7 linked regions of the Callithrix jacchus genome follow. The protein of the gene in region 5 interacts with the protein of the main gene of each other region in a biochemical or structural test. Links are inferred from orthologs where the notes say so. Each region holds a gene or a part of one and is shown on either strand. Other genes may lie near its edges. The genes, in order: SENP1, RNF4, EIF4E, JUN, PML, KLHL20 and HIPK2.

Region 1 (3,979 bases), on a different chromosome or scaffold from region 5:
TAGGCCTCAGGACTTGACAATACGTAAGTATCAACATATGGGGCGACACAATGTACTTTGAGATATTTGATAGGGCAGGAACTCAGCAAGCTGCTAAGAGTATTAGAAAGGCATGGGCCTCCAGAAACTGCCCTTCTTCAAGCCTGAGCTCAGACTGTGCCTGTGGCTGTGGTATGAGTGTAAAGGACCTACTGAGGGGGGATTTCTCTGAGACTTCTACAGGACCTGGGTCCAGAGGCCTGCCAAGCTGAGGTGTTTGACAAACAGTCTGAATGAGCAAACATATTTCTTCTCATTCTTTTTATTTTTTATTTTTGAGACGTTGTCTCGTTCTGTTGCACAGGCTGGAGTGCAATGGGCATTCTCGGCTCACCGCAACCTCCGTCTCCCGGGTTCTAGCAATTCTCCTGCCTCAGCCTCCCAAGTAGCTGGGAATACAGGTGCGTGCCACCAAGCCCGGCTAAGTTCCGTATTTTTTTTTTTTTTTTTTTGGAGACAGAGTCGTGATCTGTCGCCAGGCTGGAGTGAAGTGGCGCAATCTCGGCTCACTGCAACTCCACCTCCTGGGTTCAGGCAATTCTCCTGCCTCAGCCTCCCAAGTAGCTGGGACTACAGACGTGCGCCATCACGCCTAGCTAATTTTTGTATTTTTTAGTAGAGACCGGGTTTCACCACGTTGGTCAGGCTGGTCTTGAACCCTTGACCTCATGATTTGCCCGCCTCAGCCTCCCAAAGTGCTGGGATTACAGATGTGAACCACCGTGACTGACTTCTTCCCATTATTTTCTTTTAGAAAGTATGGCAGATTTCAGGTTAATCAATGAGACCTAGGAACAACCAAGCCCTTCAGAGGTCACAGGTGATTCCTGGTTCCTTCCCTATCTCTACCCAGAAAAGCAGATCTCTGGTGGACTCCCAGTAGCTTTCCTCACAGCCCTGCCTATGTTTCAAATCCCTCCAGAGTTCTGGAAGGTTCTACATCTTGCCAGAGCCTAACCTCATCCGTCCCCAAGCAGCTTTCTCTTTTTTGTATGCTGGTCCATCAAGCATGAGGTGGTGCAGAGCAGAACTGCCAGTTAAGAAACTTGCTTCCGAGTCTTAGATGCGACATGCATTTAAAACCCTTGGGAAATCACTTCTCTGAACCCGGTTAAGACCATAAACTATCTCCAATAACCTGTACAAGCGCTAACGTTCTGTGATTCTCAACAGCACACGAGATAGCCTGACATCGATTTAGATCTCAGGTCTCCATCTGTCGGGGGAAGCCACGGGTTTCCGCAGATCTGGGGCCGCAGCGAAAAGCTGCCATAGAAACTGGAACGCAAGCAAAACTCGCCGAGCGGAACCAGAAGGAGGCGGGTAAGGGAGCTGAGGGAACAGAGAAAAGCATAGGACGAAGGGCTCACTAACAGTATTCCGGGCGCGAGAAAGCGAAAAGGCCCAGACTGAAAAGGGAACTGAGAAATTACGACTCGTCTTAAATGCTCCCTTGACTTCTGGGGACTTGCCACACCGCGCAGGCGTCCCACTGGTCCTTAGCTCTGCTCTTTGACCTCCTGCCCCAACCCCCTTCCTCCGCAGCCACCGAACGGCTCTTCCGGTGCTGTGAAGGCGGTTCCGGTTCGCGGCGGTTCCCGGGTTTTGCGTTCCGCGCCCGGCCGGAAACCCCTTCGCATGGCAGCCGGTTCCGGTTCGGTGAGTGGCGGCGGGAAGCTGGGGGAGGGGTGAGGATGGAGGGAACCTGGGCCAGGAGGCTGTGTCGGACCCGGTCCGCCGGCCCGGACTGGACTGGGCGGAAGCGAGGAGCACTGTGGGGCCGGCGCCTTTACCTCTGCCCCGCCCCCTGGGACCACCTCCCCTCCCCCCTGCTGTCCGGTGGCCGTGCGGTGGCCGCCGGTGGCCGTTAGGCTACCTGAGGCCCTTCCTTGCGGTCCTCTCTCCCGGGCCGCGGAGAGGCCGTCTCCCAGCCGTTACAACAGGCCCATCCCCGCGCCCTGCCGTACTTGTGGGAAAAGGCCGGTTGGGATTCCGGGGCTTTCCCGCCAGAGCAGGGTCTTGCGTAGGGAGAGCTGCTTTCCCCGGGAAGCTCGGCCGTCTACGCTGCCGGCTTCACCTCCCGCCTTCCTTGAGACCTGAGTGGTATTTCCGGACTCCCCCTGCGCCCCACGTAAACATTTCTCCAACTCTCTTGCTCTGTGGTGTCTCCCTGAGCGGTGCTACCGCTGGTGCCACCAGCAGAAAGACACGGCCGGACCCTCCTGCTCAGGTTATGAAGATCCCCTTCACGGCCCCAGTGGCTTACCTGGCTCATCGCCTCCGGGTAATTCCCTGGAACCGGCCCCCTGGGTGCACCCGAACGTGGTCCTGGATATGCGCCTCGTTTCCCTTCCCTCGAGCTTGGGGATTTCTGTTTATCGGTGTCTGTGCAGTATTTCCACTATCTGGCTGGCATCACTTGCTCCTTTATCACTGTCAAGTCAGCCTCGTTAAAGTCATTTTACTTCGTCTTTGGTACACATTATACTTGGAGTGGTGGTGATTCTTGTAATATTCACATAAAGCCTTTTATCTACTACCAACGATTTCACTGAGGGTCTTTGTTGTAATGGGTTATTCTGGACGGATTAGAGCACATCGTCTCCTAAATCTTTATCGTTCATAAAAATAATTTGTGTTTCAACTCGTGTTGAAATACAGATTACCCTGACTTTGAAATTACAGTTACACTGAAACTTTAATCATCTCTTTAAGGATGATCCCTTAACCTACTTCCACTCTACAACCCCCCACCCGCCCCCTTTATTTTTCTTCTTTAGTACCTTTTAGGAAGTCTTATTCTTTTTTTTCTTTTTTTTTTTTGAGACAAAGTTTCGCTCTCGTTACCCAGGCTGCAGTGCAATGGCGCCATCTCGGCTCACCGCAACCTCCGCCTCCTGTGTTCAGGCAATTCTCTTGCCTCAGCCTCCTGAGTAGCTGGGATTACAGGCACGCGCCACCATGCCCAGCTAATTTTTTGTATTTTTAGTGGAGACGGGGTTTCACCGTGTTGACCAGGATGGTCTCGATCTCTTGACCTCGTGATCCACCCGCCTCGGCCTCCCAAAGTGCTGGGATTACAGGCTTGAGCCACCGCGCCCAGCCCAGGCTTATTCATTTTTAACTGACTTCAATTCATTACCCCAGTTGCAAAGACGGTCTTCGTATCACTCATCTAACGAGCTGTCTGGAGGGAGTAGATGGATGCAAAAACAGGTTCTGCTACTTCTGGCTAAGGGCATGCAGTTGTTGACTACGCCTTTGGAAATCTGTCTTTTTCTTCCGAACTTCTTCTTCTATCAATCGTACTAGCTCTGCTGTCTTGCTGTATCTGTTTACGGATCTGGCTTTCCCTACTAGACAGTGAGCTTCTCAGTGGCAGGGACGCTCTCTTAATCATTTTTGTATTCCCAGCACCCTGCACGTAGTTGGTGCACAGTAAATGAATATGTATGAAAAAATTTGAATACTTAGGGTTTACTGTGTTAGAGTGTTAAGGTGTTTAAGGTGTTAGAGTCTGATTGGGAGAGATTACATGTAAAGATAGAGGGGAAGAAATAACCTCAAGCACATGATGATACAGTACAACTGTTGTACACATAACTTTTTCAGAACTTGGAAAAGGGTGATTTCACGTGATTGCTTTCATACCCTTCTCATGTCATAAATTCTGCTCACCACATCTTGGTCTTGGATAAAGCTAACATTAGCTCAATATATATTTTCTAGTAACTTCATTTCAGCCCTGAACATTGTCTTTTATAATCCCCTTTGCATGTGTGTAAGACTGTAAATGTGTCACCGCAGTTGTCAAGCCTGATCTTTTTTGTTCTTTCAGATTTCCCTTCACCTTGTGTTCAGCTACTAACCCGACTTCATCTGAATGACTGTAACTGCTTATGTTCTTCCAGGAAATCAAATGACCAGTGTGTACGAGGAA
Region 2 (2,855 bases), on a different chromosome or scaffold from region 5:
ACTGTTGAGATGCCACAGCCCCTGCCTCCTGCTCTCCAGCTCCAGGTACAGTTCGCTCTCCAGAGCCCCTCCCTGTTGCTGCTGCAGCCTGGCTCGCTCTTTCCTCTAACTGGTCATCTTAGGCATAGACAGGGGTGGGATTTTCTGGGGACAGTGGCTGCTCTGGGGCAAGGGCAAACTCAGAGCCTCTTCTTATAATGCCTTCTAGATTGTGCAGAATGGACGTCTCATCGTTTCCACAGAATGCGGCCATGTCTTCTGTAGCCAGTGCCTCCGTGATTCCCTGAGGAATGCTAATACTTGCCCAACTTGTAGGAAAAAGATCAACCACAAACGGTACCACCCCATTTATATCTGAGGTGTTCAGAGTGCTCAGGAGAGACGGATGGACAGCCAGCCAGCCAGGTTCTCCAGTGGTATCTATCTGCCTCCATTTTCCTGAGCTCAGAAAGACTGTTTTGAAACCAACGTCCGAGATGTAAACCCCTCTTTTGTTTCCAGCCCCTTCCTTTTGTTATCTCCAGTTTGATGCTACGGCACTGGGCCCAGGACCCTCCCAGTTCATCTCTGTTCCTCTGGGCTAGGAGAAAGGGAGGAGTCAGGCACATTGTAATTGGGAACTGTGGTTCTAGTCTGCTTGGAGAACGTGCACAGTTGCCAAGAAGTTTTCCCTGTTTGGAAAGTTTGCCCCAGCTCTCCCAGGCACCCCACCTTTTGTCCCAAGTGTCTGCCGGTTGACCAGTCTGCCTGCCCACACATTGACCAAGCCAGACCTGGTTCACGCAGCTCGAGGATCCCAGGTGCAAGAGTGGCCCCTTGAGGTCACCGTGATTCTGCCCGCACCTTACCATTGATCTGCAGTGATTTCTGCAAAAAGAGAAACTGCAGGGCAATCCCCCGTTTTCTAAGAAGGAAAAAGTGCAATAAAGGCTATTCTTTACCTACTTTTCAGCAGCCCTCAAGATGTAGCACTGTTAGCACACCCTCAGAGGCCTAATGTTGCTTGCGGAGCAGTGCCCATCCCAGCCCCTTTCTGCCCACCAGCTGTTCTCAGGAACCGTACCCACGCTCCAGTGTCCTTCACCTGGCACAGGACATGCAAGTCAAATAGGGCAGGCACTTGTGTGGGTGTCCTCTCCTTTCTGATAAAATCCATCCTGTGTTCACCACACACCCTCCAGTCCTCAGTTCCCACTGCCTCATGTCTGCCCCCGCATAGGTGCTGAGAGGTGGTGGCAGTAATTGTGACCGTGGCCTTAGCAGCCGCTCGGTTCCAGGCTTTTGCCCCAGTCACTGTTGCCCCACGTTTCAGAGAACCTGGCCCACCTGACTTGGCTTCCTCCTCCTTCCCAACCCAGTGGCATTTACTTCAGAAACTGCTCCTCTGCACAGTTGGGCTTGGATCCTTTGGGCTTTTGACTACTCCATAGGTTTTGATTGGCAAACACAGTGGCTTGTCCCCCCACAGGAACCCAGATGACAACCTCTCCTTCACTCCACAGGTGTGGGAGCCTCGGGTTCTCTCAAGGGGCAGCAGAGTGCCCCTGACAGCACAGGGCCTGGGGGTGGCTAATGAGAGAGGCCTTAGAGTGCCAGCCTGCCTCCTCTTCCTCACTCCTCCTTCCTCCGAGGGCTTCAAGCCAAACCAACGGCCTTTTCAGTGAAACAGCTTCAGAGTGGGAAAGGGGCCACTTCTGGCTTTGTTAGCAATAACTGACCTTCAGTTTACCCTTCTGAAGGAGCAGGGACTCAGCACAGAACTCACTTTAAATGGGGCTGAAGGAGTGTCCCTCCTCTATGTGAAAAGAAAAGAGTTTTATTCTTCATTCTGACTTTTTAACTGTTTGGCTCAGTTAGTTTGAATGAAAATCATAGTTTTCTACCTGGAGTTGAAGAGGGCAGGAGGCTCAGCTCTCACTGTCATGATGTTTAGCGTGTCTGCCCTCTGACTGGACATCATTGCCATTAACTTTCTTCTGGGTGTCATGGCAACGTCGTGATGCCCAGACTTGGAGCAAGGCAACCTTGGAGCCAGTCCACTAATAAAATATGGTTAATACCCATTTTTAAATTTCTTTAAGTTTTATCCTTAAAGATAACTCAAGTGGTTGATAATAAAAGTTGTGTTACTTCGTCCTAAATTAAATTGGTAAAAAAAAATTTTAATGTGTTTGGTTTCTACTATTGAGAAACTGCAAACCAGGAAAAGGTTGGTATGAAAATGTCTCTCCTTTTTTCAGTGTACATAGTTCAGCTTTTTCTTTGTTACATTTAAACTATATCCATGGATATCAATCTGTTTTGGACTCCTCTGCTAGTGTTAAAGATGGAAATAAAACCATTAATTTGAACCAAGTATCTTTCACACATTCATTTTCTCTTTGGAATTAAGAGTCTGTTTCCCCCCTTTTTGCCAAGGTGTGGGGTTCTTATCTGCCTTGCATTGAGTATATTTCACATCGCTGTGCGTTCATGAAGTTTGTCCGTCCTAAATCCAGCAAGCATGTGAAAGGCTATTCTGAGAACAGAGCCACAAGCCCAAGCCTGGAGTCCCTAAGAGAGCAGAGTCGACTCTGAGAGGCACGGCTGACCGAGAAGCTGTCTGCCCAGCTTGGCCAGCCTCTCAGAGGTGCTGGGGGTGCTGCTCTGAGTGGGATGGGCTAAGATTGCCCTGGAGACCTTGCACTGCAGTGCCCCCCTTTGCCCCTGGTCACCCAGATACAGAATTTGCCCTCTGAGTGGGAGTCAGCGCTCGGAGTATGTAGATGCACCAGTCACTGCCACAGGTGAGCAGTGCCAGCAAAACCACAAGGAGGCATTGGACTTGGCAGTGTGGCCAATCTGTCCCTTTGCCT
Region 3 (3,992 bases), on a different chromosome or scaffold from region 5:
AAGACATACATACAAAATGTAAGCCTGAATTTGATTAGTTTCAGCGGATATAAAATTGTCAAATTGCTACAGATTTTCTAAGTGTTTACTTTGCATTTCTATACTTAACCTCACTGTCAACCATGACCAGTTTGTGGACCAGCAGTAGCAGTCTGTAGATAGTCTGTGGACTGTACTTTGAGTTACTGGTTCAAACTATTATTAGTGCCCAGGGGGATTAATGATGATTACGTACTTCAAATATGGCGTGGGGAGATCTGTCTTAACCTGGAAAAAAAATTTTGGAAATTCCTATGAGTAAATAGGTGTTTTTTATGTGTATTTGGGTTGAGAATTGCTGTGAGAAATCTTGAATGTTCAAAACCGTGGAAAAGCACATCATGGTTTTGGAATTTAAGCAATGTAGATTTGAACATGGTGAGGAGAATCTAAAATTTAGTCAGATTTATTGAAAACACCACAGAATGATGTTAGACCTGGGAAATATTTGCCTCTATAAATTAGGATTGTCCCATAAGATTAATATTACACCTGTGCTAGTTTTGCAGAATGTAGTAAAAAGCTACCTGACATTCTTGGCAGCTAATTGTTAGGGTTTTCTCACCCTTGCTTGTCTTTTTTCTTCCCTTTCAACTTTCTTTTGTTGCTATGACAGTTTATTCAGCCCTGGGTTTGCTAAATTTTAATACTAAACATTTTTATTTGAAGCTGATGAACTCAGCAAATCTAAAACCAGGTTTAATACTTTGCTCTTAAATTGGTGATCTTTTGTTTTCTTGCCATTTGGATTTAATCTCTTTGACCTTCTAGTTAATGTCTTTCATTGCCCCCAAGATGAAAGGTACACTTTTAGCCTGACCTGAGGCCTTTAACAGTCTCACTCCAACCTATCATTCTAGCTCTTCCCTTTCATAAACTTTGTCTTTCAGCCACACTGGTTACTATCTGGAGGAACACAGCACCATCCATGGCCTCACTCTTACACTCTGTTCTACTCACCTAAAGTATGTTACACAATGCTTTTTCAAGGGAAGATTGTCTATTTTAGTTTAAAAATGTGTTCGATTACTTTGAGTTAGCCATAATCTGCTAAATTAGCGTTTACTTTTTTGTTCAGGTAGTTTATAAACCTAGAAATATTGGTCATTTAATTTTTTTTACTTTTTTTTTTTTTTAATTCCCCAATAGAACCTGAGGTTGGTCATTTAGGATGTATTTTCCAGTGAAATTTTCTCACTGAGAGAACACCAGCCTGAGAGAGCAGAGAGGGGAATATGGTAGGACTTTGCAGTATTTTTATTTTATTTTATTTTTGAGATGGAAGTCTTGCTCTTGTCCCCTAGGCTGGAGTGCAATGGCTTGATCTTGGCTCACTGCAACCTTTGCCTCCCGGGTTCAAGCGATTCTCCTGCCTCAGCCTCCCGAGTAGCTGGGATTACAGTTGCCTGCCACCATGCCTGGCTAATGTTTTTATTTTTAGTAGAGATGGGGTTTCAGCAGGTTCGCCACTCTGGTCTTGATCTCCTAACCTCAAGTCATCCACCCACCTCAGCCTCCCAAAGTACTGGGATTACAGGCGTGAGCAAAAGTATTGGACCTCCGAAAGTACTGGGATTACAGGTGTGAGCCACCTCGCCCAGCCGAGTTTTGTTATTAAATTGAATGTAAACTTAAAACTTTTTAAGTGTCTATAGGAAGCAACCTTAAAAATAAGATTATACATCTTAAAATAGAACTTGTTTCTGGAAGTATTTTTTAGTTCCCAAATAGATGATATGAAAAGATGGCTGTGGCCATTAAAAATTCTTATGGTATTATAGAGCATTTGTTTCATAATCAATCTATATAATTAAAAGTGAAGATTAGAGAGTTTAAATTAGTATACTTATTGATTTGTACATACACACATTTAAAAATGTATAGCTTTTTTTTGTTTAAAAATGTGTAGCTTTTTAAAGTTGTTGGAAAAGTACAAAATAATGTGTTCTTAATATGAAGACTATAGTATCAATTACTTAAAATGGGACTTCTAATTCAAAATAACACTTTTAAAATTTTAGGAACTGAATGTTTTTCCTGAGTGATTATCTACTTTTAGTTTCTGTATGTCCAAAGATTTGATTACCATGTTAGTATTCCATCATTTCCTCAAGAATGAAAAGAATGGAATAATAGAAAAGAAGAGAAAGAACTAAATTAGTTTTAAAATGATGTTTTGGACTCTATGAAACTTGTAATTAATCATATTGTAATTCACTATTTATGTGCTGCTGAGGTAAAAGGTTTAAATAAGTGTTGCAAAAGTATGGTTTATAGTGAGGATTTTGAGCTTATGAGTAAATTTAAGAGAATTTAGCTATCTACTCTCAGGTCTTTTGGATAATAAATATTTGACTACATATCTTGTTGTGTTAACATATATCTCTAACTTTTGTTTGCTGCTTCAGTAAATCTGATATCCAGACACTTGTTGCATTGCCCCTTTTTTTTTGTATCAGTCTTTGTCCTAATGCCTTTCTATGGATGTCTTGTTCTGGTGACAACAATTTATTGTAGTGTGAAGAGCTACATGGAAGAATGTGGTGAACACCTATTTTAAATTACTATTCTTCTTTTCTTACTGATATTTCTAGATGACAATGTTAATTATGCCTAGCCTAAAAGAAGATTTAAGTTCAAACCAATGTCCATCATCTTAGAGTCCATTGAAAATGTTAAGTTGCCGAACTTTTAGGTTACCATAGGGTAAACAGTATGCCATGAAGGCAAGACTGGCATATCATTGGCTTGATCACTTTACAAAGCTTATTTTGTCATCATAATATAGTTTTGTTTGTTTCTTTGACAGGGTCTTGCTGTGTTGCCCAGGCTGGTATCAAACTTCTGGGCTCAAGCAATCCTCCTATTTCAGTCTCCTGAGTAGCTGAGATTATAGGCATGCACCACAGTGCTCAGTGATAAGTTATTACACTCTTGAAACTTTAGTTTCAATCCTCTATCCATCCTGATATCACCTTCAATACCATATACAGTATCTTAATGAGATGGTATGTTAAGAAAGATAGCAGATTTTCCTAACTTTGTTGCATAATCTGTGACAGTCTTCCTGCTATTAAAAAAAAAGTATAAGTGGAAGGATAACCATAGATACTATTATATTTTCCAGTTTGAGAAACCCTTTGCTCTTAATGAAGAGATACAAGAATAGAGAATGGTTCTTTAGAGGTTGGTCTATGGTCTGTTTAATGAAGCAATCTGCTCTAATTACTTCTTCTTAAAAAATATTATCAGCATGTCAGTTCAGGTTTAATTAGAATATTCCTATCATAGGTGTGTTAAGAAATTTAAAATAATGTTTTATATTTTATACTAGGAAACCACCCCTACTCCTAATCCCCCGGCTACAGAAGAGGAAAAACCAGAATCTAATCAGGAGGTCGCTAATCCAGAACACTATATTAAACATCCTCTGCAGAACAGGTAAGCTTTCTGACACCTAGGTTTTCTGAGTTAGGCCACAGGTAAGGGAAAGTTAGATTATGAGGCTAGTTTTAGATATGCTAAGGTTGAGGGTTCTATTTTTCGCTTGGATGATCCATGACTAGCAGACAGTTTTATGTGTGAGTCTTGAGCTCAAAACAAACTAGGTGAGAGATTAGTTTGAAATTCTTCAGTATATTGGACGTAATAGAAGCCACATTATTAAGTAAGTTCCTTTAAGGAGAAGTGAACTTTACTCAGGACAAAGACCTGGGATACTAGCATCATATAGGGGGCTTTTGTTGAAGAAGAATGCCTATGAAGGATGGATATGCAAACTAAGAGTGGTGGTCGCTGGATATGGTGGCTCACACCTGTAATCCCAGCACTTTGGGAAGCCAAGGCAGGTGGATCACCTGAGGGTTGGGAGTTTGAGACGAGCTTGGCTAACATGGTGAAATGTCTTCTCTACTAAAAGTACAAAAATTAGCTGGGCATGGTGCCGGGTGCTT
Region 4 (4,295 bases), on a different chromosome or scaffold from region 5:
GACATTCTTAACTTTCAACTCCACTTAGATAGCTAGTATCTATAGATGATGCAGAAAAGAGGTTAGGGGAGTACTTTTCAATAGTTTATTGCATTTTCTTAAATATCCTTTCTGGAATTTTCAGAAACAAAACATAAAAAAATTATATACTTTATTACAAATGGTAAACTCAGAGTGCTCCAAATCTCTTATTTACAAACAACACTGGGCAGGACACCCAAACAAACAAACAAGAAATAACTTACAAAGGCATGAAGCTGTTTATTGACAGTAATCAGCTTTCATCAAATTAAAAAAAATATATATGTACATACACAGTTAACGAAGGCAGGCCAGAAAGAGTTCATCTGCAGGCTCAGCCTCGCTCTCACAAACCTCCCTCCAGCCGCCCCTCCCCAACCCTCCCCCCCACGCTTTGTGTTCTTAAGGAGTACTACAGAAGCAATCTACAGTCTCTATTGCAGTTTGTAACCCCCTCCCCCTCCCCCCTTTAATACTGAATGAGATCGAATGTTAGGTCCATGCAGTTCTTGGTCAATGTTAACGAAAAGTCTAACGTTCCGTTCGCGCGGGGACAGCCCATCCGCAAAGCCGGGCAGCCCGCAGACGGCCGCTCCCTGGCTCCACGCCAAGGGAGTGCGCGCCAAGTCCTTCCCACTCGTGCACACTGGGGGCGCCGTCAGGACGCAACCCAGTCCAACTTGGATACCCTTGGCTTTAGTTCTCGGACACTTCTTTTTCCTCTCCGCTGCAACTTGTCAAGTTCTCAAGTCTGTCTCTGTTATTTTTTTCTCCGTTGCCCCTCAGTCCCCGACAGTCTCTCTTCAAAACGTTTGCAACTGCTGCGTTAGCATGAGTTGGCACCCACTGTTAACGTGGTTCATGACTTTCTGTTTAAGCTGTGCCACCTGTTCCCTGAGCATGTTGGCCGTGGACGCCAGCTCCGAGTTCTGAGCTTTCAAGGTTTTCACTTTTTCCTCCAGCCGGGCGATTCTCTCCAGCTTCCTTTTTCGGCACTTGGAGGCAGCGATGCGGTTCCTCATGCGCTTCCTCTCTGCCTTGATCCGCTCCTGGGACTCCATGTCGATGGGGGACAGGGGCGGCGTCTCGCCGGGCATCTCGGGCACTGTCTGAGGCTCCTCCTTCAGGGCCTGCAGTCGCGGGTGCTGCACCGGCATCTGCTGGGGCAAGTGGTGGGGCGGCTGCGGCGGCTGCTGCTGCTGCTGGGGTTGCGCGGGAAAGGCCAGGCCGGCCGCGCCGTAGGAGGGCGCCCCGCCGCCGCTGCTCAGCGCTCCGGGGTTGAAGTTGCTGAGGTTGGCGTAGACCGGCGGCTCGCTGTGCAGGCTGGCGCTGAAGCCGCCGCTGCCACTGCCCCCCGCCACCGAGGCCACCGCGGGAGCCACCATGCCCGCCCCGCTGACCGGCTGCGCCGCCGACGTGACGCTGGGATGTGTGTTCTGGCTGTGCAGCTCGGCCAGGGCGCGCACGAAACCCTCGGCGAAGCCCTCCTGCTCGTCTGTCACGTTCTTGGGGCACAAGAACTGGGTGGGGGTCGGCGTGGTGGTAATGTGCCCATTGCTGGACTGGATGATGAGGCGCTCCAGCTCGGGAGACGCCAGCTTGAGCAGCCCCACGTCGGGCGAGGTGAGGAGGTCCGAGTTCTTGGCGCGAAGGTGCGGCTTCAGGCTCCCCACTGGGTCGGCCAGGTTCAGGGTCATACTCTGTTTCAGGATCTTGGGGTTACTGTAGCCATAAGCTCCGCTCTCGGACTGGAGGAACGAGGCGTTGAGGGCATCGTCATAGAAGGTCGTTTCCATCTTTGCAGTCATAGAACAGTCCGTCACTTCACGTGAGGTTAGTTTGGGCTGCGCGCAGAAGTTTCGGGGCCGCAACAGCGCTCTGGCAAGCGGGGTACACCCGCGTCCCCCCGGGCCTTTGGCGGGGAAAGTTTCTCTAAGAGCGTGCGCGCCTGCTGGCAGTCGTCCCCGCTGCGCCCTACTCACCAACTCGCTCCTGGGAGCGCAGGGTTAATTAAGATGCCTCCCGCACTCTTACTTGTTGGCTCGCGCGCGCTGCCCGGCTTTGAAAAGTCGCGGTCACTCACTGAGCGATCTTCGGTCGCAGCGGTTCCTCGGAGCCCGCGGGCGAACTCACTTCCAGGAGCGGCGGTTCTCCCAGAGGCGCGGATCAGTGCGGACCCCGCAGTGGCCAGCCGGCGGCGGGTCTCGGCCGCCCGGACTCCGACGACTTGTCCCCTCCTCCGCTGCGAGGGGGAGGGGGCGCCCGGCAGCCGCGGCTTGCGCTCGCCCAAGTTCAGCAACCAGTGCGAGCGAAGCTGAGCGCACGTCCTTCTCTCGCGCGTCTCTCCAACGCCTTTTGGTCTTTACCGCCGTCGAGCAGCCTAAGGCGCAGGAAAGGCTTGCAAAAGTTCGCTCCGGGACTCTGGGCCACTTGGCCCGGGTCCTCCCAGCCGGGAAAGTTCTTTGCCGCTGCAGCCGCTCGCCGACGTCCCCCGGCGGGCGCGTGGGTACCGCTGCTCTCCGCCGCTGTCAGCAGCGCTTGGGCAGCGGGGTTCTTCTCCCGGGGGCGGCTGGAGACCAGGCTCTCCCCGCACTCCTCGAAACACCAGCCCCGGAGCCACAGGCGCTAGCTCTGGGCAGTTGGAGAGAAGATGGAAAAGAAAAGATTTGCAGCTCGGACTCTACTGCAGTCCTGGCTGTCTGGCTGTGTCTGTCTGTCTGCCTGAGACCGCGCACCTCCACTCCCGCCTTGCTGCTTCAGCCACACTCAGTGCAACTCTGAGCCCTTATCCAGCCCGAGCTCAACACTTATCTGCTACCAGTCAACCCCTAAAAATAGCCCATGATGTCACCCCAAGGCTTTCCCATTGGCTCGCGTCGCTCTCAGGGGGGCGGGCCCGCCCGTCGCCATGGAGACTCCACCCTAGAAGATTCTTCTCTAGGCCCGCGGAGGCTCACGGGATGAGGTAATGCTCCGTTGCCCTCCTACAGTCGGTCCCTTCTTTCTCCTCCCCTCCCCCTGCCGCACGCCTCTCGGCCCTCTCTTCCCTGGTCTCCTCCCCCGGCCGTTTTTGCTGGCCCGCCCGGTGCATTGTGGGCTGACGTCTTGGGGTTTGACTGTCTAGTGACGGTGGCTGCCGCGAGCGGGCGGACGCTCGCAACGTCTCTGGGGTGGGGGGGGGCGCTCAAGTTCACGGCTCCGGACAGGGATGCAGAGATGCAGGGGATAAGGGGACGCGGGAGGCCAGGGAACCCGGCCAGTTGTTGGGGGCCAAGGGTGCGGGCGAGGGGTGGTTGGGGTTTCTCCACTTGTGGGGCTCGAAGTCATCCGCCGGCGTCTGCCACCGCGCGGGGCAGGAGGCTGAGAATCCAAGTCTGTGGCCCCCCCCGCGCACTTCCGGGGGCGGGAGCACCGCCCTTAAGGTGGCTCTGTGAAGTCCCAGTTGGGGGCGAGCCTAAGGGCGCTTAAGTTTGGGGGCGGTCTCGCGAGAGTCGGCCCCCCAAGTTGAGAACGCTCGGAACTTTGTCTTGGTCTAGTTCAGGAGCGATGGTCCGCGGGGTCGTCTGGCTGCTCATAGAAGCCGAGAAATTTGTATTGCCCGAAACTGAACGCTCAGCTGAGTCTCCGTTGCACCTCTCTTCATCCTCCGGGGACGCGGGGGTTCATAGCTTTGCCTTGGAGGGGCAGTTTTTATAGTGAGAGCAATTAGTGGGTAACAGGGTCCAGATGGGAACAAGCATGTAGGCAATCCGAAACTTGGGGAAGCCCGGTGTTAGTATACTCCCCCTCCCGCCCCCGGACAACACGCACACGCTTAACACAGCACGCTCAACACACAGGCGCGCGCGCGCACACACACACACACACACACACACACTCCATCTGCGCCGTGTTGCTTCCGGGAAAACAAGCCCAGAAGGCGGCGGACGCTCGCATAAAGTCACGCAGTAGAACTCGGAGCCCGGGATAGAACCTGGACTTCAAATCTCTGCACTCCGGGCCGGGTTGTGGGCCCATATCCTGGGTAGCCTCTAGGAAGCGCTAGACACATGTAAGTGGTTCCTTTTCCGCGGTTGTTATTTTATCTCCCCACCACCCCCCCCGCCCCCACTCCTTAGGGACGAAAGTGTGTGGTGGAAAGAATCTTGAAGTCGGGAATCCTGGTTCTTTCGTGGCCAGGCTGCCACAGTGCGGAACGAGGAAATCATGGAACTTCTCTGAGCTTCATGTCCCTCATCTGCCGGTGGGGCCGATGCAGTATACCTCCCTGGGCT
Region 5 (3,962 bases):
ACTCAAGGCATCACCCTGCTCCCTGACCTCCAGGCACTGGCTTTCCAGGGTCTTTGGCTCAAGTCCCTCCTTTGCATCCCACAGCCACTGTCCACAGGCCTCTTGCCCCTAGGTTGTCAGAATGACTGTCCCAGCATGCACAGCTGATTGTGCTGTTCCCTGGTTCCAAATCCCTCACCAACTTCCCATCACTCACGGACCTGGTCCAATCTCCTTAGCTAGGATCTTGTCTCAGAACACTCCTTGGGCATCATTTCTCATGAATTCTCTCTTAAATCTGAAAATGACCAAAACTAGTTCCCAAACAGGCGTTTGTGTTTCAAACTTCCATGCGTTTTGCAGGAGCTTTCCTTTCTGTTTCTGTTTCTTTTTCTTTTCTTTCTTTCTTTTTTTTTTTTTTTTTTTTTTTTTTTGAGATGGAGTCTCAGTCTGTTGCACAGCCTGGAGTGCAGTGATGCAATCTCAGTTCACTGCAACCTCCACCTCCTGGGCTCCAGCGACTCTCCTGCCTCAGTTTCCCGAGTAGCTGGGACTATAGGCATGTGCCACCACACCCGACTAATCTTTTATTTTTAGTAGAGATGGGGTTTCTCCATGTTGGCGAGGCTGGTCTCGAACTCCTGGCCTCAGGGGATCTGCCTACCTCAGCCTCCCAAAGTGCTGAGATTACAGGCGTCAGCCACCGTACCCAGCCTATCCCTTCTGTTTCAAGTGTCCCCTGTACCCCACCACCTACAACCCTGAATCCCTGGGGAATTCCCACTGCTTTTTCGGGTCCCAGTTCAGGGCTCTCCTTTCCAGAATGTCTCCGTTTGCAGGCTTGCTCTTCCATTACATCTAGGGCTCTTTGAAAGCAGGGGCCATGCGTGGCTCATCTCTTTGCGCCCAGCTCCCAGCAGGAGGTGGCAAGAGGCAGTGCCAGTGTGAACTGATGAATGGATCAAAGCCGGGGGCGAGGCTGCCCCCTGCAGCTCCTCCCCGCCTTTCCCGCTTTACCATAAGTCAGGTGTGGGTAAGCGGCTCCCCAGCCTCTCCCCTCTCCCCGCTCTGGGCGTGTCTTTAAAACCCCCAATCTGCCTCTCAGCCCCTAGAACCGCCCCCAGCTCCTGTCTCACTTCCTCTCCAGAGGCGGGCCCTGAACTGGCACCTCCCCTTTCGGACCGCTCTAGGGGATCTGCCATCTGGCTCACGTCTCCCTTTCAGCTTCTCCTCCCGCCCTCCAAGATCTAAACCGAGAATCGAAACTAAGCTGGGGTCCATGCAGCAGGAGCCTGCACCCGCCCGATCTCCGGGGCCCCAGCAGGACACCGCCCGGCCCCACGCGCCCACCATGCCTCCCCCCGACACCCCCTCTGAAGGCCGCCAGCCCAGCCCCAGCCACAGCCCTGCAGAGGTACTATTGGGTTAGGGAACGATGGGGTTAGGCTTTGTTGGTTTGCTGTGGTGGGGAGAGGGCGGAAGAGAGAGGTTCTAACGAAGGACTTGGGTCAAGTACCCTAGAGAGTGACACAAAGCAGGAAGACCAGACACTGGGGTCTGCCCCTCTCGGCTGGGGCAGGGAAGGGAGGATAGGATAGAGTAGAAAAGGGGACCCGGAGGAGTTGGCGGGGGGGTCTCGCTGGGTTGCGGTTCTCCACTGAGTAGTTGGGCAAGAAGGGTCTGTGGCCTCCGGGACTGGGCCCTCACGCCCACCCTGGAGCCCTGCCTCGACCCTGTTGCCTCAGATGCCGGACCACAGATTAGGGAGGATGGAGGTAGTAGCCCTGTTGCGCAGGTCTGGAGCCAGGAGCATGTCCCATCACAGCAAAACTAAAACCGACTTCGCAGATCCGAGGGGAGACACTGTGGCCCACACTGAAGAGGTATCTTTGCCAAGGCCTCCCAGCTTATGTGCTTTCTGCTTACGGAAGCCTCTTGAACCCTTCTCTTGGCAGGTCTTTCCTGCCCACCTCCCACCCCCACTCCCAAAGGAACTACTTGGGTTTCTCCCTCTGCTGCCTTCCAGGCCCTGTCGCTCCCCTTCGTGAAAGCTCAGAGGAAACCGTATTACAGTAACTTTTGTTAGCATTATTACAACTTAGTATTACTTAACAATGCTAGCTAACTTTTATGAACACTTCGAATGTGCCAGGTACGTTATTAAGCACTTTGAGTTTGTTTTTGTTTGTTTGTTTTTGTTTTTTTGAGACGGAGTCCAGCACTGTAGCCAGGTCTGGAGTGCAACGGGATGATCTCTGCACACTGCAACCTCCTCCTCCTGGGTTCAAGCAATTCTCCTGCCTCAGCCTCCCAAGTAGCTGGGATTACAGGCGCGCACCACCATACCCGGCTAACGTTTTGTATTTTTAATAGAGACGGGGTTTCACTATATTGGCCAGACTGGTTCTGACCTGACTTCGTGATCTGCCCCTCTTGGCCTCCCAAAGTGCTGGGATTACAGGTGTGAGCCACCACACCCTGGCTGTTTTTGTATTTTAAAAATTGTGGTAAAATATACCTAATGCATAAGTTTCTGTGTATACCATTTCTAAGTGTACAATTCAGTGGCTGTAAGAATTTACAATATTGTGTAACCATCACCACCATTTCCAGAGCTTTTTCATTACTCCAGAAACTCTGTACCCTTTAAACCATAGGAGAGGAAAAAATGGCTTCCCTCCACCCTTCTAGTTTCCTTGGCTGGGCTATGAATTAAATGGTCATAAAAAAGATTAACAAGGAAAAACCAATATTTAATTACCTATGTATACGCAGGAGTCCCCAGAAGTACGAGACTCAAAGAAGGGTCAGATGACTGAAGTCTAGGTAACATCCTGAGCTGCAGAAACCACAGGAGCTTGGAGCTTCTGGGTGGTGGTGATGATATAAGTTATGGGAGGGGGAGGGGAGGAGCTGCTTGGTAAATAGAGGTTGTCTTGTTACGCAGATAAAAATTCTTTTTTTTTTTTTTTTGAGATGGAGTTTCGGAGTTTCGCTCTTGTTACCCAGGCTGGAGTGCAATGGTGCGATCTCAGCTCACCGCATCCTCCGCCTCCTGGGTTCAGGCAATTCTCCTGCCTCAGCCTCCTGAGTAGCTGGGATTACAGGCACACGCCACCATATCCAGCTAATTTTTTGTATTTTTAGTAGAGACGGGGTTTCACCATGTTGACCAGGATGGTCTCGATCTCTTGACCTTGTGATCCACCCGCCTCGGCCTCCCAAAGTGCGGGGATTACAGGCATGAGCCACTGTGCCCGGCCTGCAGATAAAAAGTTCTTAGATTTGCTGCCTTCCTCCCCATCACCTATATCTGGCATTTCTCCGCATGCTATCTCTCCCCAACTTCCCACACCCCGCTGTCCCTCCCCTATTTCCACCCCCCCCACAGACCCCAGTGTGTGATGCTCCCCTCCCTGTAATCACACTGCCATGTGTGTTCCTATGCAAAAATCTTGCATGTTCTTCACATGTACCCCAAAATCTAAAATACAATAAAAAAATTCTTAGAAAATAAAAAATGTCTGGAGCCACCCTCTTCTAATATAGATCATTTTACTAATGTAGATTTTAAGATGTAAATGTCTTTCTTTTTTACAAAAGGAAAGCTTTTCAGAGGTATTCCTGCATCAGCAAGTTCCTCAGAATAACCAGCTTAAAATATGCCAACGAAGTATATTTCAGGGGTGGCATATCCTGGCCTCCTGCAGTCATATTTTGAAGTGGTGTGTCCTGAGTCCCAGCAAAGCAATGGCTCCTCATTTCCCCCTTCCCTTAGCCCTTGGAAAACTTCTGTTCTGCCTTCTGTCCCTGTGAATTTACCTATTTTAGATATTTCATATAAGTGGAATTGTCACAGTAGAGGCTCTTGACTGCAAGTTGTTCAGGTTCTTGGCGTTTTGAACAAAGAACTGGTCAAAATGCACAGCAAAGCAAGGAAAGAATGAAGCAATGAAAGCAGAGATTTACTGAAAATGAAAGTA
Region 6 (3,500 bases), on a different chromosome or scaffold from region 5:
AGCCAAGATTTGGAAGCAACTTAAGTTTTTGTTTTGATTTTTGTTTCTGAGAAGGATTTGTATACCTCTGGACAGTATGACATATACTCTCATCAACTCCACTTACTCCACTACGGCGTGATGTCATGGCTACCACCGGAGACCACTGGTTGGTTCTGGGGTTGTATCTCTCGGCACTGCTCAGCTCTGTAGTGTCATCTCTACCTCCTACAGCATAGATCATGTCCTGATATACTGCACAGCCTAGGTGTTTCCTCCGGGTCCCCATAGGGGCTATAGTGTGCCATCTGTTTTCCTGAGGGTTGTAGCGCTCCACTGTACAGAAAAGAAAAACCAGTAAGTGAGCATTCAACCATTTCCTCTCACCTCCAGTTTTCTTTATAGCCATTGATACTTAGTGATAACACATATTTTCAACACATGATCCACATGATCTGATTTTTGTTTCTGAGAAGGATTTGTATACCTCTGGACAGTATGACATATACTCTCATTAGGGGCTGGTTTCTTCTAGGTATAGTACAGTGGAAAGGGCATGTGTTGGGGTTCAGATACTCCAGGTTCTAGTTTTGACTAAATGAATAATTAGCTACATGACTCTCGGCCTCACTCTCCTTGTTTTTAAGTGGGGAGATTGACTACATGATCAATAAATACTAATAATTCATCATCATAATCAGAAAACTTCTGTATCCTGTATTCCCTTCCCTCTAGCATAGTGCATTTTAAGCCTCTGAAGTGAAGACGTGACAATTAATCTGGCATGACTGTCACACTAACAATATCCTTAGGCAAATATACCCATAATATCTAAATAGAAAGGAATAACAAACCAGGCCAGGTGCAGTGGCTCAAGCTTATAATTCCAGCACTTTGGGGGGATGAGGTGGGCAGACTGCTTGAGCTCAGGAGGTTAAGTCCAGCCTGGGCAACATGGCAAAACCCCATCTCCACTAAAAATACAAAAATCAGCCAGGCGTGGTGGCACACACCTGTAATCCCAGCTACTCAGGAGGCTGAGGTGGGAGGATCGCTTGAGCCTCTGAGGTAGAGGTTGCAGTGAGCCAAGATCGTGCCACTGCACTCCAGCCTGGGTGACAGAGTGAGACCCTGTCATAAAAAAACAAAAACAACAAAATCCAAATAAACTGATTTGTAGTTCTAAGTTTTTATTTATTCTTAGATTATAACAGAGTATTTTTTTTTTTAGGAGAAGTTGTGATGGTAAAAGGAACTAATTATATAAGAAAGTAGTTTTTAAAATTCATTATAAATTTCCAGCAGCTTGTAAAACAGGAACAAAGAAATATCTGGGGAATATACTCAGACTATGACTACAGTAGGAGCTGAGGAAGAACTGAGAGCTGCACTCTCCTGGAGGGAAAATAAAGCATTTTCCTAGGAAAACCTGGAGTTTTTATACTTTTTGTAGGAGGACTCTCCAGGAAAATGTTCTGCTTTTGGGGAACCTAATTGCCTTTGGAAAGAACTAACCTGTGTTGAGTGGAGATGTCCCGTCAGAGCCACCTACAGCATATAAGAACCCTCCTAACACAGCCACAGCCACACCTAGTCTTCTGGTACTCATAGAAGCTACCCGAGTCCACTTGTTCTCCTTTGGATCATACCTGTAGTGAGGGAAACCAGACTGTATGCTTGTTCTTATTAAGTGAAACCTTTTTCATACGATCTGAAATTACACTAATAGCCATTAGAAAAAAGTCACAATTATGTCTGTGCCAGTTATTAAGCTATTTTCTACTCAGACTTGGAAAATGTCCCCAGGGAAAAAAACAACCTGTCACAGCTCACATACACAGGCTCTTTAATGAAATTTTAGTTCATTTTTACATGCCTCTGATGTCTTTTAAAATATGATTTTTGTAATTTGTCGTCTTTTTCTAGTTGTTATAGTTGGAGTGATGGCTATTATTCTCTACTACATCCTGTTTGGAAGTAGAAGTATTTTGCACAGTTCTTTAAAACAACATTTTTATTATAAAATAAAACTGTAAAATAAAAATACAGAAAGCCACACACACAAAAATGTATAGTTTAGAGTTATAATCAGGAAAACCCCCTAGAAACCACCACCCAAGCCAAGAAAAAGAACTTTGCATGCCACTCTGGAAGTCCTGCAATGTGTCCTTTTCCAATCTCAATCTTCTCTTTCCCACAAAGTAACCATTATCCTGACTTTTAACAGTTATCATTTCCTTGTGTTTATATACTCATTAGCATTTAATTTTTAAAATTATAAATTAATATTTATTTATTTAATAATAGGTCAATCTGTGTTGACCAGGCTAATCTCAAACTCCTGGCCTCAAGCAATCCTCTCCCCTTGGCCCCCCGAAAGTGCTGGGATTACAGGTGAGTCACTGTGCCTGGCTGAGACAAAAAAAAAAAAAAAAAAAAAGCTTAAGTGCAGTGGCTCACACCTGTAATCCCCGCACTTTGGAAGGCTGAGACTGGAGGACTGTTTGAGGCCAGGAGTTTGAGTTTAAGACCAGCTTGGTCAACACAGAGAGACCTTATCTCTATGAAAGATTTGGGGAAAAAAAATTAGCCAAGCATGGTGGCGTTCACCTGCATTTCCATCTACTTGGGAGGCTGAGGCAGGGGGACTGCTTCAGACAGTTGTGAGCTACAATTGTACCACTGCACTCCAGCCTGGGCGACAGAGTGAGACCCTATCTCTAAAAAAAACATACTTAAATTAGTGCTCCCTTTGGCAGTACATATACCAAAATTGGAACAATACAGAGAAGATTAGCATGGCCCCTGTGCAAGGATGACACGCAGCTTCGTGAAGCATTCCATATTTTTTAAAAAAATTAAAAAAAAAAAACAACTTAAAAAGTTTATTATTATCTACAGGGTTTCCCTCCATTCCTTTTCCTCCCTGCAATTCATCTGTTTTAGAACCCGGAGTGTATAACAAATTTCCCCATAATATGGATGTGGTTGACTATACATTCATAATGCAGTGCAATTCTGTTCCTCTGTCCTTTGTATGTTCTGCAAATTGGTAGCTGGATCCAGAAGTTTGGTTCCTTTGACAAGAGTACAGAGGGTGGTGTGTTAGCAGCTGTTTATCAATGTCTAGATACAATAATTTACTAAGTATTGCAAAATGATAATATTCTACCACTTATTTTCTTTAATTGGGATAATTTTATAAAGAAACAATCATTTTATCTACTATTTACTTATTCAATTCATATGACACAGTTCATATAAAGGCAGGACATATGCTCACTTCTTTCACTTTATTTACAAGTTTTAAGATAATAAATTTGATCCCTATGATCTTCTGAAGGCAAATAATTAGAGTCTTAAAAATTTTTCTTTTGTTCTTAGATCTGTCAGACATCCAATTGCTTCTTTCTGATTTCTCCTGAAGATTCATGCAGGTCTTGTGGCCAGTGGTAGTTTCTCTTTGCCCATTTGTGTTTTGGAGTTTGTGAGAATATCCTTTCCCTTAGTTTTGTCTTAAA
Region 7 (4,234 bases), on a different chromosome or scaffold from region 5:
CATTAGGTTGAGAGAAGTGGTAGGAAGTGTAGCATTGATTGTGGGGGGCAAGGAAGACGGCGGAGTCCAAGATCACACAGAGGAAGGGGCTGTGATGTGCCACTAACGAAGTGGGAAACAGCTTGCCTTTTTGGGGGGGAATAGAGGATGGAGAACGGAAAGGATATGAAGTAGTGAGAAAATCATCGGGTTGTATTTAAGAAAGTCATACAGTGTTAGAGATGATTATTTTACACCTTAAAAAGATAGCTTCTCAACTTTGTTAAACCCACGATCCACAGTTGGAAATAAAATTGACATCATGCTCCAGTACACTTGTCCAGTACCTATAATTGAAACAAAAGGTTTATGAAACAATAGTTTCCCTTACTAAGGGCAGTGGATTCTAATATTTTCTATTGGATTCAATTTCATTCTTTTTTAAAGCCGGTTGCCGTCCGCTGCATTTATTTTATGATTTATTAATGTGTCACGACCCACAGTTTTAAAAACAGCTTAAGAGGAGACTCAACAAGTCTTCCTAAGTTGGAGGGGATGGCAGGGCATCCTATCCAAGCACACGGGAGACAGCTGGAGAGGCAAACCTGTAGAGGCTCCAAGCTGGGGAGAGTTTGGAGAATGTTTAGCGGAAGCCCTGATCGGAGAGAGCGCTGAGACAAGCGAGGACCCAGACAGTTGTGAGCTCCCATTCAAGTGATGGGGTGCGGGGAGGGTGGGGCTCGGGACAGTGTAGACGCGACGAGGCGAAGATCAGGGTGTCTTGGAAGCCAGATTCCGGCAGGAACCCGGCGACCACCCCGGGGGCTGCCTTTCCGCGGCGTGCACTGCAGGGCTTGGTGCCTCTGACCTCGTGTAGCTTTCCGAAGCTCGTCCACTCACCCGCCCTCCCTGGGAGCACGGCGCGCTCCCACTCTTTCCTTCATTCATTCTACTCCTACCTCCGCGAGAACCAACGGGCTGCGAGACGGGCGAACCACTTTGCAGCCGGGGGCTCTCCTTAGGGTCGGTTCCGCTCCGGGCCAGCACGCGCGCACCCTCGCACCCTGGCACACACACGCGCGCGCGCGCACAGACACACGTGCACACACACACACACACACACACACAAAGTTCTGGGGCCCCTCTGCGGACCGGCTTGGCTGCGCTGGGCTCGGAGCCGTGTGCCTGCCCGGCCCAGGCCGCCCCCCCAGCGGCTCCCCGGGGCCCGCCCCGCGCCCCGTCCCTCCGCGCTGCGCGGCCGCCCCTCCCCGCGCGGTCCCCTCCGGCCGCCGGCGCGGCTCTGCCCTTCGGCTCGGCCTTCCCCGCCTCGCATCCGTGCCATCGGCGCTCGATTGCGCGCGGACTCCCTGTGGCTCTCCCGGCCCCGCGCCCCGCCCCCGCCCGCCGCCCCCCTCCGTTAGCAACTTTTGCGGAGCCCCCGCGCCCAGCCATGCTGAGCTGAGCCCCGCCGGCCCTGGCCGCGCGCTGCCCCCGGCTCCCGCCCCTCCGCGGACCCGCTCGGGGGCCGCGGCCGCTCGGCGCCTCGGCCTCGGCCGCTCCGCCCGCCCGGCCGCCCCGAGCCCCGAGCCCCGAGCCCCCCGCGCCGGGCCCGGGCGGCAGCGGCGGTGGCGGCGGCGGCGGCGGCGCGCCCGGCCCCCTCCCCCGGCGCCGGCCACGGGAGGCGGTGATGCGGGCGCGGGCGGCCTCGGCTGCGCCGAGAGCGGAGACACAGGCTCAAGATGGCAGATTCCGACTGAGGCTGGGGGGGCCGAGCTCGCGCGCCGCTTTCCCGTCCCCGTTGCCATGAACCGCGGACACCCCGGCCCCGATGGCCCCCGTGTACGAAGGTAAGGGGCGCCCGGCCCCGCCGACCCCTCTCCCGCCGCCCCGCCGCGGCCCCCGCAGCTTTGTTCTGCCCGCGGCCCCGCGCCCGCAGCCCCCGGCGCCCGCCCCAGCCCCCACCCGGGGCCCGAGGGGGCCGCGACCCCCTCCCGCGCCCGGAAGATGACCGGGACCCGGCGCCGGCGGGGCCGCTTCCAGGGCGGGGAGAGGGGCCGGGGGCGCGGGAAGGGAGGGGGCGTGTGCGAGGGTGGGCGGCTGCCCGGGGAGGGCAGGGGCGCCAGGGAAGGCGGACCCGTGACTGTGCTTTTTATTTATTTGCGATAAATGAAGGTGCTGCGGCTCAGCTTCCACCGCCCCCCCACGCTACCTCTCGGAGCACCTCCTTTCCACTTCGCTCTCCGCCCCGCGCCCCTTCCCATTTCTCTCCGCGCCCACCCCACGCTCCTTTATTCTCCGCGAGCCTCCGATTTTGGGGGGGGGCCGTGGAATCGGAACGCGCGGGGCTAGGTGGGGAGAGAGGAGAGGGATGAAAAGTCCATGTCAGAGCCAGGCAGAACAATGAAACAGGCGAAAATCTCCCCGCATTAGCGTGTGCAAGGGTACGTGGACTTTGGGTTTTCCAGCCGGGGAAGCCGCGGAGACGTTTTTCTGGCTCAGTCTGGGTCGACCTGTGTGGTGCACCTTCACCTGGCGTCGGGGTGTTTTCCCCCATTTGACTGCCTTTAGGAAGAAAGAAAAGAACGCGAGGCGGAGAAGCCGTGGGTCTGCCTCGCACACTCTGTTTCGTTTCTCTTCGGTCCGTTCTGTCAGCTTCCAGCCAGAAAGCAACCCAGAATCAACTAAGTTTTTACACTTCGATGTGTTTTTGTGTGCTTGTAGTAGGGGGAATTTTAAACCTGTGTGTCTGATTTTTCTGTTGTTTCATCGTGCAAATGTTTGTCTCGTGAAATCATTGAAATCGCAGCCTTCACATACTTTTAGCGTGGGTCCCCCTGGCTTTCTTTCGGTTTTGTTCGGATATTCTGTGGGGTGAAATCGCAAATGAGAGGGTACAGGGTTTATGTGTCACAGAGGAGGGCATGAGGGGGGAGTGTAATCCGCCTATAAATCCAGAGAACAGTTGTGGCCAGTGAGACAGGGAAGGCATTAATAGTTTTATCTCTGTTATAAGAGGCTGATTAAAAAAAAAAAACTTATCTGAAAAGAAAATCTGTTATTAGTTCCAGGGCTCCAAATGAATTAGATTTCTGGCCGGAATAAAGTTACCAGTCAGGCCCTGGATAACGAGGCTGTAAATAACCTATGGACTGTAAATATTTTTTTTCAGACTCTCTTAGAAACAAAGGGGCTGTTTAGAAGGCAACAGAGAGATGTTATTCCAGGGGCTTTCCTCTTTGATTCTGAAGAACACAAGGTCCATTTAACCGTTGGACAAAACAAAACGAAATTTCTGATCACTCCACCACTCAGAATAGAACATGCCGGTGGACATGTGAACATGTGGGAGAACCCATGTCGGCCATTCATTGTTCATCTGCGTCTACAGGAGGGGGCTACAGTCAATGCTCCCACTGTCTAGAGTGTTAAAATGAAACAATTTTCTCTTTATTAAGTACCTCCTTGAGACTCCCTCTGCTGGACACTCTCGGTGAGTTGAGAGAAGGAACTTGGCATTGAATTCAGAACTATAGTAGACGGCTGGTTTCCCTGTTACTAGGGACCGGGTATGTGAGTTGGGATGTATTTTGTCAACTTTATGGAAAGCCATCTTGGGAACCGCACTGTTCTTCTCCTGCCCCTTTCATTCTAAATCCATATGGAATGTAGGCGGTGCCCCGGAGGCTGAGACTTGGCCTCTCCCGGTTCCTGCTACATTGTTCCTCCAGTTCCTTAAGCCAGATAAAGAACTGCAGGTGTGTAGGGTGTTATGTTTAAGAATCCTCATGGATCTCAAAGGTCTCATGAATTGTTTTTATTTGCCAGCCTTCCTTCCCTGTCTCAGGTGACCTCCGTGGTGGCCTTTTTCAGACCTCGGTTTCCCTCCATCTTGTCCATGTGCCCTCTTCATTATTCCTGCGCTGTGCACCCTTTTATTCCGGGTGTGTCTCTGTGCACCTTTATCATTCTTTTTCTAATCTTCCTTCTCACCCCACCTCAACTAGCCCACATCACTCTGCCGAAAGCCCACGGCCGGGGGTTTTTGAAAGAGACTGTTGGATATGCTCAGAACAGACAGGTGACCTCTAGAATCAAGGATTAGATTGCTAGGACCCACATTCACTCACTGCGATGAGTGTGCCAAGACTCTGATGACCTCCTTTCTCCCGCCGTAGTGACATCCGCTGGGTTCAGGGAACCTGATTTTTCCCCTGTCTCAATCAGAGCACGTGGACTCCCTGTGGGCATGTTAAAT

The links.
Region 1: of the proteins of PML (region 5) and SENP1, one has a biochemical effect on the other in vitro, tested with the Homo sapiens proteins (2 studies listed by BioGRID). The link is inferred for Callithrix jacchus from reciprocal best matches to the Homo sapiens genes PML and SENP1.
Region 2: of the proteins of PML (region 5) and RNF4, one has a biochemical effect on the other in vitro, tested with the Homo sapiens proteins (3 studies listed by BioGRID, with this or other methods). The link is inferred for Callithrix jacchus from reciprocal best matches to the Homo sapiens genes PML and RNF4.
Region 3: the proteins of PML (region 5) and EIF4E form a complex in vitro, tested with the Homo sapiens proteins (4 studies listed by BioGRID and IntAct). The link is inferred for Callithrix jacchus from reciprocal best matches to the Homo sapiens genes PML and EIF4E.
Region 4: the proteins of PML (region 5) and JUN form a complex in vitro, tested with the Homo sapiens proteins (2 studies listed by BioGRID). The link is inferred for Callithrix jacchus from reciprocal best matches to the Homo sapiens genes PML and JUN.
Region 6: the proteins of PML (region 5) and KLHL20 form a complex in vitro, tested with the Homo sapiens proteins (3 studies listed by BioGRID and IntAct, with this or other methods). The link is inferred for Callithrix jacchus from reciprocal best matches to the Homo sapiens genes PML and KLHL20.
Region 7: of the proteins of PML (region 5) and HIPK2, one has a biochemical effect on the other in vitro, tested with the Homo sapiens proteins (2 studies listed by BioGRID). The link is inferred for Callithrix jacchus from reciprocal best matches to the Homo sapiens genes PML and HIPK2.

Annotation. Positions count from the first base shown.
Region 1 is NC_133510.1:2,422,250-2,426,228, reverse strand, and holds the start of SENP1 (sentrin-specific protease 1), read left to right. Parts: upstream 1-1,179; 5' UTR 1,180-1,362; exon of another isoform or gene 1,363-1,586; intron 1,587-1,605; exon of another isoform or gene 1,606-2,305; coding exon of another isoform or gene 2,306-2,314; exon of another isoform or gene 2,315-2,474; intron 2,475-3,979. Other genes in the region: PFKM (ATP-dependent 6-phosphofructokinase, muscle type), read right to left, coding at 2,306-2,314. UniProt on the Homo sapiens protein: Protease that catalyzes two essential functions in the SUMO pathway.
Region 2 is NC_133504.1:190,644,863-190,647,717, reverse strand, and holds the end of RNF4 (E3 ubiquitin-protein ligase RNF4), read left to right. Parts: intron 1-208; coding exon 209-358; 3' UTR 359-2,355; downstream 2,356-2,855. UniProt on the Homo sapiens protein: E3 ubiquitin-protein ligase which binds polysumoylated chains covalently attached to proteins and mediates 'Lys-6'-, 'Lys-11'-, 'Lys-48'- and 'Lys-63'-linked polyubiquitination of those substrates and their subsequent targeting to the proteasome for degradation.
Region 3 is NC_133504.1:98,561,735-98,565,726, forward strand, and holds the start of EIF4E (eukaryotic translation initiation factor 4E), read left to right. Parts: upstream 1-1,192; 5' UTR 1,193-1,317; coding exon 1,318-1,620; intron 1,621-3,028; exon of another isoform or gene 3,029-3,044; coding exon of another isoform or gene 3,045-3,047; intron 3,048-3,373; coding exon 3,374-3,480; intron 3,481-3,992. UniProt on the Homo sapiens protein: Acts in the cytoplasm to initiate and regulate protein synthesis and is required in the nucleus for export of a subset of mRNAs from the nucleus to the cytoplasm which promotes processes such as RNA capping, processing and splicing.
Region 4 is NC_133508.1:95,863,949-95,868,243, forward strand, and holds the start of JUN (transcription factor Jun), read right to left. Parts: upstream 2,801-4,295; 5' UTR 1,830-2,800; coding exon 825-1,829; 3' UTR 1-824. Other genes in the region: uncharacterized protein LOC128928178, read left to right, coding at 4,071-4,072. UniProt on the Homo sapiens protein: Transcription factor that recognizes and binds to the AP-1 consensus motif 5'-TGA[GC]TCA-3'.
Region 5 is NC_133509.1:20,897,471-20,901,432, forward strand, and holds the start of PML (protein PML), read left to right. Parts: upstream 1-1,162; 5' UTR 1,163-1,258; coding exon 1,259-1,393; intron 1,394-3,962.
Region 6 is NC_133519.1:29,281,905-29,285,404, forward strand, and holds part of KLHL20 (kelch-like protein 20), read right to left. Parts: intron 2,830-3,500; exon of another isoform or gene 2,723-2,829; intron 1,629-2,722; coding exon 1,495-1,628; intron 316-1,494; coding exon 107-315; intron 1-106. UniProt on the Homo sapiens protein: Substrate-specific adapter of a BCR (BTB-CUL3-RBX1) E3 ubiquitin-protein ligase complex involved in interferon response and anterograde Golgi to endosome transport.
Region 7 is NC_133512.1:107,576,291-107,580,524, forward strand, and holds the start of HIPK2 (homeodomain-interacting protein kinase 2), read left to right. Parts: upstream 1-1,434; 5' UTR 1,435-1,782; coding exon of another isoform or gene 1,783-1,807; coding exon 1,808-1,826; intron 1,827-4,234.